Linked DNA regions of Nothobranchius furzeri. The protein of the gene in region 1 binds, or shares a complex with, the protein of each later gene. Links are inferred from orthologs where the notes say so. Each region holds a gene or a part of one and is shown in the gene's direction. Other genes may lie near its edges. The genes, in order: robo3 and protein kinase C-binding protein NELL1.

The links.
Region 2: the proteins of robo3 (region 1) and protein kinase C-binding protein NELL1 are in contact, whole or in part, in a crystal structure (PDB 6POL), measured with the Homo sapiens proteins. The link is inferred for Nothobranchius furzeri from reciprocal best matches to the Homo sapiens genes ROBO3 and NELL1. Residues at the interface, in NP_071765.2 of Homo sapiens: Ser553, Pro555, Val590, Glu592, Phe594, Pro596, Asn600, Thr601, Trp602, Thr604, Ile624, Leu626, Arg630, Gly633, Ala634, Trp635, Gly636, Leu637, Ser638, Glu639, Pro646, Val647, Arg648; in NP_006148.2 of Homo sapiens: Ala440, Lys441, Met442, His443, Tyr444, His446, Tyr458, Arg468, Val469, Asp470, Asp471, Phe472, Ser473, Asp478, Ile492, Cys493, Thr494, Asn495, Thr503, Cys504, Lys505, Pro506.

Annotation. Positions count from the first base shown.
Region 1 is NC_091750.1:40,675,929-40,680,365, forward strand, and holds the start of robo3 (roundabout homolog 3), read left to right. Parts: upstream 1-1,380; 5' UTR 1,381-1,608; coding exon 1,609-1,762; intron 1,763-4,437. UniProt on the Homo sapiens protein: Receptor involved in axon guidance during development. Acts as a multifunctional regulator of pathfinding that simultaneously mediates NELL2 repulsion, inhibits SLIT repulsion, and facilitates Netrin-1/NTN1 attraction.
Region 2 is NC_091749.1:50,757,113-50,760,937, reverse strand, and holds part of protein kinase C-binding protein NELL1, read left to right. Parts: intron 1-1,383; coding exon 1,384-1,512; intron 1,513-3,825. UniProt on the Homo sapiens protein: Plays a role in the control of cell growth and differentiation. Promotes osteoblast cell differentiation and terminal mineralization.

The DNA of each region.
Region 1 (4,437 bases):
CCCCCCCCAAAAAAAAATTTACGTCCATGAACACTGGGATAAATGGCATTACTGCTTTGTAAAATAGAGATGCAACAAAGAGGTGTGGCTGTTTATTTGATGTTAAAATGGTGCATGGTGTTCTTATGATCAACAAAAATAAACATACAATAAACACACAATCAACATTTTATCAGAAGAGTCTATCTTTTAGTGTTTCTGTATTTTCTGCATTAAACAGCTGGAGGTTTGTGGTGAACAATAGTTACTGAGTTAAGGTTTTACCACTGTAGGTAAAATAGGTGTAACACCCTGTGTAAAGGCACCAGAATGCAGGAAATGAAATCTACACCATTTTTATTTTTTGTGCCCCCCCCCCCCCACCCCCCACCCCCGCATCAGTCGTGTCCCCCCCCCCCCCCCACACACACACACACACATTCTCATGCTTCCGACGCCCCTTGTAAAGCGCTTAAGAGTCCTCTGACTCTGACCAGCGCTAGGGCGGGTTGTTCATCGTTTATCATACCCTGTCCTCCGCCAGCCAGCTCCACTGGGGGAATCCTATGGCATTCCCGGGCCAGCCCACAAACACAACCCTTCCATCACATCCTCTGAATTTGGGTGGGGACTAAAACCAGCAGTTACTGAAGGTTGTAGAGGAAGCAGAGACCCACATGGCAGCACCTTTAACACTCCTCCAGTTCCCATCACAGAAACAGATCCAGCAGAATACTTTATGTATACGAACAAATACACACATCCTAATACCTCCGGTGCAGCTCATTAATAATCACTATATTTGCTGTAGCCACAACAACAAAGTGTTGTCCAGCTGCTACAGAAAGCTGTCCTTTATCAGGCTAGTTCCAGAAGAATGTTTATTTTTGTCCTTCTGGACCCAGAGGCCCTTGCAGAGCTCTAAAATCACTTTTACTTTAAGTTATTGAGCGAAGTTTCACTTTTAACTCGAATAACGGCTCAGTGACCGAGACAACCTGGAACCCTCCAGAGCCTGATGGAGGTGGAATAGATGGAAGTTCAAACAACGCAGCAGCAGTCCAGCCCTCAAGCATGTGTGTGTGTGTGTGTGTGTGTGTGTGTGTGTGTGTGTGTGTGTGTGTGTGTGTGTGTGTGTGTGTGTTTAAGAAAGACAGGAAGCTTATTCCATCCCTACCACCCTGATTCACAGCCTCCTGGGATGATTATTAATCTAATAATTAAACATTTATTGCCAACAACACCTGCTCTCTGTCTCCCTTCTGGACCGCCACCCACCCATCTGCCCCCTGGGACCCCATCATATAGAGGGAGAAAGAGGAGGGGAGTGAGAGGGAGGAGCTGGAGGGAGGGTCAGGGTGCGGAACAACCCCGGTCACATCGGTGGATTCTTCTACAGAGGCAGGAGGCTGGATGTTCTGAGTGCTGACAGAGTGTGAAGTTATTTCGTTTCAGGACAAAAGAAACAAGGAGGAGACAATCTGATGCTCAGAGGCATCACAGCACCCCCCGCCTCCACTCCACCCGGCTCAGGGCTGCAGTCATTTAGGGTAACTTTTCCTCTTACTGGGAGCCGGGGAACCAGGCTGCCTCACAGCAGGGGGGCTGCGGGTCCCTCCAGGAGCCAGGATGCTGCACTACCTCATCAAGACCCTGCTGCAGATGAACCTGTTTACTGATACCAGCCGGAGCCCGACCAGCAGCACCGATCTGCTCTTCAACGGATCTCTACCCTCATTTAACAGCTCTCTGCAGGAATGGGGAAACTTCTCCACCTTCAACGGTGAGTCTTTATGCTTTTCTATGTCCCATGCTGTTCTGGAGCGCCCGGTCTCTGTGAAGTACTTTGTGTTCCACTGGTCTCAGGTCAGATGTTTACAGAAATGTGAGTCAGTAATGGTCCAGCATCTTCTCCATATGTAGACCTCAGTGTTTCAGTGATGTCTCAGACTTCCAAGCTGGGTCCTCAAAAACTAGTCCTGACCTGATCTGAGTTCTGTAGAAGGTTAGGTTCAGGAAGAGAGGTGAAGATGTTGTGGATGTGATGAGAGGCTCTACAGCAGCCTGCTGTCAGATCAGTCAGACCCTTAGTCGGTCTGGTCATCAGGTAGACATCACGTCTGTCTTCAAGGTTGTAGAGGAGCTGCTTTGTTAGGGTGTCAGTAAATACCAGAAACACACACGCGCGCACACACACACACACACACACACACACACACACACACACACACACACACACACACACACACACACACACACACACACACACACACACACACACACACACACACACACACACACACACACACACACACACACACACACACACACACACACACACACACACACACACACACACACACACTCAACTCAACTTTATTTGAGCTATAAATAAAGGTTTGATTGATTGATTTGTAAATAGCGCCTTACAGGCAAAAAGATGCCACTAAGGCACTACACTGATCAAGTAAAAAACATAGCACACACACGCACACACACACACAGGCTCTCACACGCACACACACACACACACACACACACACACACACACACACACACACACACACACACACACACACACACACACACACACACACACACACACACACACACACACACAGCAAAAGGAGGGTTGAGCTGTCAATCACCCTGCATTCACTACAGTAGTGATCGCTGCAAATGTTTTAAGGCAAGCGTATCATCTGCCCATAAATCAAACCAGTCCAGGTCAGCAGGTCCTCACGACATGTTTGGTTCCGTCATTTCAGTCCAACCTCTTTTCAACGTTCAGCTTGACTTCATACAACTTTTGTCATGGAAACGGATCCAGATCTGGTGGTCTCTGAATTAGAATGTATGCCACAGATTTTCCCTCAGGGACAAATTTAGTTTGATAAGGATTAGGGTTCGGGTTAGGTTAGGTTGGGGGGGTGTTAGATTAGGGTTAATTTGATAAGATAAACGTAAACGTAGCAGGATTAGCCAAACAGCTACGGTTTACCTGCTGACTATGGACATACACTAAACGTTGCTCTAAAACAAAATACAGGTGAAAAGGGAAAAATGGGAATCTGGTGCAAAGGTTCATTTATGTCACTAATGAGGTTAAACTAATACATGAGACGGACTCATGCTAATCAAAGTCACGTGTTTAAGCCTGTACTTGTTAGAACTGTGATGATTGTGGTTGTTACAAACCCTAGGTGTTAAGCGTTGTGGCAAGGGGTAACATAAAAACTGATGCGGAGAAAGGAGGGGTGAGAGTAAATAAAAGGGTTTATTTCGCAGAATTCAACCCAAAATACACAGTCCCAGACTGGAAAGGTTCACAATGAATGTACGTAAACAAAACACACGAAGGAGAAACTGGAGATAACTCAAAACACCTGGGACAAACGGTCCCGGGGAGAAAAACACGACAATAACTATAGATCTAGACACGAAAAACAAAGAGCCGGAACTAACTAAAAACCAAATCTCGACGGCTATCAATATTATTACAAACACAACTTAAAGCGAGCTATAAAGCTAAAACGAAAACAAACGGCCTCACGGGGGCAGAATCAAACCGATCTTTCAAACGAATCAAGGATACTATCTGAAGTCACACCAAGTCAATCCGAATTACCAAACCGAGTTAATCGAGGAGAGAAAGACAGAGGTTTAATCTGTGGGTCTCTCGCTGAGAAACCGAAACAGGAATCTTTTAAGAGCGTCTCATCAGCGGTAGACTGTCCGCAGCTGAAGCAGAGTAGGCGGGCCAAGGCGGAGGCCAGCCTGATGGAGGACCTGTCCAAGGTCCTGAACAGCAGAGAGGGAACAGGACTGGGCCATACAAGGTGCGGGAGCCCAGGATCCGTAACAGCCCCCTCCTTCAACAAAAAAAAAAGGAGAAAACAGTAAGACTTGAACCAAAGACTGATGTCTAACTCTTTTTTTTTCTTTTACCATTATCAACAGTATCTTTAATACCATGAGGGCTCCCGCTAGCTACCTATCCAGACATTTGCTAACTAACCCCTACTTCTTCATGTGGACTAGAGGTGGGCTGATTAAACAGAAAATATCAGGTGGTGCTGATCCCCAGTACCACCGACTGTTCCCGAGATGTCTGGAGAACCAGGCAACGCTAACCTCTATCGCCACAACACTATAGAAAACAACAAACAGACTCGCCCTAAAGAGGAGGAGTCTCTACCACCTACCAGGGAGACCCTCACGGAATTTCAAGATTCAGACAGCCACGAGAGAAACCATCTGCCAAGACATTATTGGCACCACTCTTGTGACGAATTTCGATGGGGAACTCCTGTAAAAGCAGGGCCCATCGCATTAGTCTCTGGTTGTGGTTAAACATTCGTTTTAGAAAAACCAAGGGGTTGTGGTCGGTGTAGACGATGGTGGAAGAGGAAGAGGAGCCAACATAGACGTGGAAATGCTGAAGTGACAGAATGAGGG
Region 2 (3,825 bases), on another chromosome or scaffold:
CATCACCGTTACTAAACACACAACACCAAAAAACACAAACACCCGACACCAAAAAACATGGAGGATTTCCACCACATCGTCGTTACTAAACATCCGTCACCAACAAACATGGCAGAATTCCCCACATCACTGTTACTAAATACCCAACACCAAAAAACATGGCAGAATTCCACAATATCACCGTTACTAAACACCTGACACCCAAAAACACAGCAGAAAGAAGTAACATTGCCATTACTATACACCCAACACCAAAAAACATAGTAGAATTCTCCCACAATGGCTTAAATCACAGGGCTTTGTTGTCTCATGGAGTGCAGTAAAAAAAAACTACAAAAAATAAGCATCTTCTGGTTATTGAACACCGCATTGTACATAACACAGCTGCTTTCATGCTCCAAATGGATTTAATTAGGCTGTACTTTTACCTTTAAATCCTATCAATGTTACTGCGGATGCTTTTTGGTACAGATCAGTGACATGACTCACTGCTGAAGCAGTCACAACCTGCTGGTGTCTGCGTAAAGTCCTGAGAGAGCTGCATTTACAGTTACCCTGAAGTTCCGACAGTGGAAACATGACTGGTAAGATGTAATAGCAGTGAGAATGTGGTGCAAATGTTCTTCTTACAATCTAGCAGTAATAGTTTAATTATGTTGTCTTTCTTCAACATGTCCTCCTTTCTATTGCAGTTTTGTAGTTAATCCCTCAAATATTTTGCTCAAAAATCTAGCATCATGACATCGCTGTCATTGGCCCTAAAACCCAAAAGAGGACACTGACAACATTTTTTGAAAAATGTTGGAAACTCTGGCAACTATCAGTCACAAGATGTTGCCAACAGTCCTAGTGTCATGAGATGAGAGCGCCATGGTCTGCGGGATTTATTCTTTTGGAGATGTTGGTGTTCATTGATAGAGCTTGGTGTTTGCCTGCCGCCACTATTATTTAAATATTTTTTCTGTCTCAACTACTTCTAATTTATACTTAAAGTTTAAATTACCTGCTTCTTCAGCACACTTTGTCGTCTTTAAGTAAATGTTTATTTTTGTTGACATCATTGTTTTGATTTCTGAATTTAGTGAAATCTACAATCATCTTTTGAATTCAACACAGCAGGATCGGGAAATGAACTGTCATGAACAAAACAATAGCATCCTAAAGAGTTGTGTTCCTTTGCGTTTTTGTATGTTTTTTCTTCCTGTGACTGCTATATTTGAATAAATGCACTAAGTTTGGGATAAGCCTAAAGATCAGACCAGATTCCTACCCCTCCCTGCCACTCACAGTCAACAGCAAAATCATGGTTGTTTCTGTTTCACAGTGATGCGTGTGTCTTTTCAGCAAGCAAATTTGATGGATTCCCCTGTTTCTCTCTTTCAGGTTACGACTTCTGCGCAGAGGGACTCATTTGTGGAGAAAACTCAGAGTGTAAAAACAGGAATACTAAAGCAGAGTGTGAATGCAAGAGTGGCTATGCCTCCATCCACGGGGACTCCACTTACTGTGAAGGTACAACTTTATTTTACTCTGCTCAGGTTTCGTGGGGGCTCGTGTGGCTGACAATATATAATCACTCAGGATGCAAAGAAGCTGCATGGGTAGAAGTGGGTGGATGGGTTTATTGTTTGCTTTAAAGAGGTATTTTATGGGGGTCATGAGACCCAGAGGGAGATTTGTGAATATGACACAATAATGACTGATGGTGAAGAGAATGACGGTTGCACATGTGTGATCCTGAAGTTGTATGTTTTGAGCAAAAACATGTATTGAATGGCTTGTTTAATGAAAACATAACTGCTGTTTATGGGCTATGTATGTTCTGTTGAAAAGGAGTTTTTGCTTAAGGAGGTTTTCATTGTCTAATCTACCCGTTACTACAACCAGTGTTTTCTCAAGGACATGTTAGCCATTGGTTTTCCATTTATCACTCAGTCGAACAATACCAATGAGCTGGGATTTCTATTATTAGCATGCTTTTTGTGTTGTGTGAACTGGCTTTGGTTGACTTTCTGCAGCATGAAACACAATTTGCATTGTATCCAGTGTGTTTTAGGACAGAAACTTTATCAAAAGTTAAAATATCTTGTATTAATCCAGATAAACTTTGCTTTGAGATGTTGGACTTTCTTTGAGAGGGGGGGGGGGGGGGGTGTTCTGGTTCTGCCCACCTTTATCAGTGGCCTAGTGGTATGAGTGTCTGTGCTGGGACTGGGAGATCGGAAACAAATCTAGTCGGGTTGTTACATTTTTTTTTAAATGGAACCCGATGTCTCACCGTTTGACACACAGCTTTAAGAGTTAAACCACCAAATGGTTTCTGAGTGCAGCCACAGCTGCCGCTCACCGCTCCCTCATGGGGATGGGTCAAACGCAGAGATGAAGTTTCACCAGCGTGTGACTTTATCTTAAACATAAAATCTGTGTTTTGAAACTGAATTATGTAGATTTTCACTGATTCTGTTTTGAAAAGGTCAATGATCAGTGATTGTCCTGTGGGTGTATTGTTGGCTGAGCAAAAGCTCAAGTGTTTTGGTGCTGGAGGCCCAGATTAGCGCAGATCAAGTCAATGGCTTTATTTGATTAAAAATCTTGGAAACATCTCATTGTGGATTGGAGGATTTGCTCTGTGCTTGGTTTCAGTTGTCTTTGGATCGTAGCCACAGCAATCTAAATCCACCAAGTGTTCTGGTAGCCATGAGCCCCGCAGCATGTCTGCATCTGTTTGAACTGCATTTGAGGTTTACCCAGAGCTCTTTTCCAAACCACATCTGTCCCTTACCATACGAGCAGTAGCTGGGCGGCTGCGATTGTTAGATCAACAATGTAATTCATAAATCCGTGGCTGCCTTAGCTACAACAGTGTTAGCAATGTGGACCCTAAAGCCAGCTCAAACCCATATTGTAACTGGATTTGTTGGATGTCACTGTTGGTATTTGACTTATCGTCAGTCTCACGCCCAACTCACAACAGCTGAGGATACAACCTACAACACATGAAGTATTTTTCTGGTGTAACTTTGGTTTTAAATGGCCAGCAGGCTGTTGCGGCATGATTTGAATCATCTTTTAAATTTTATTAACTGAAGATCTAGCTGTGCTCAAGCTGTTATTTCCATATGCATCCTAATGTTTTAATGTGTATCTGATGACTTTATGGAGTAGTAATGAGACAATTATTAGAAAAAAAAGTTAGAGATCCAAATTATAGTGTGATAATTGGTTTTTGTTACCTTATGATACATAATTGATATGTCCCTCTGTCTTTAAAGGGGCATTATGGAAGTTTGACAGCCAAAACATGTATAGAAATAATACATTTCTTCTTCATACATTATCCTGCAATGCCCTGGTCCTGTGGAATGAGCCCTGGCATTTTTACTGTGATTGTCTGTTTTTCTGTAAAATCACAGAAAAAGAGAGATGCTCGGGTCGAGCAGGCTGCTTCATGCACGTTCACGCTCAGGCATAGCCCATAGCGTTTGCTGTCAGTAGCTTTAGCAGCAGAGAGTGAGCTAGTGCAAACTCAGCGACTTTGTCGCTGTTCCTAACACCTAGTGACGAACCTAGCTACATTTCTGAGGATCCTTAGCTACTTTCTTCTAGATATTTCCTGTAAATTAGCAACAAAATAGCCATTTTCACTCCGAACCGTTCTTTGAACGTTTTTTCAGGTGTCATCAAGAATATAAATGTTACAGACACAAAATACATTACTGGTGCTGTAGCTCACCTAGTTAAACGTTGGACTCTCATGCAGAAGATCTGGGTTTGATTCTGTATGTGAACATAATTTATTTAGAATTCATTTTTTACATTACTTTT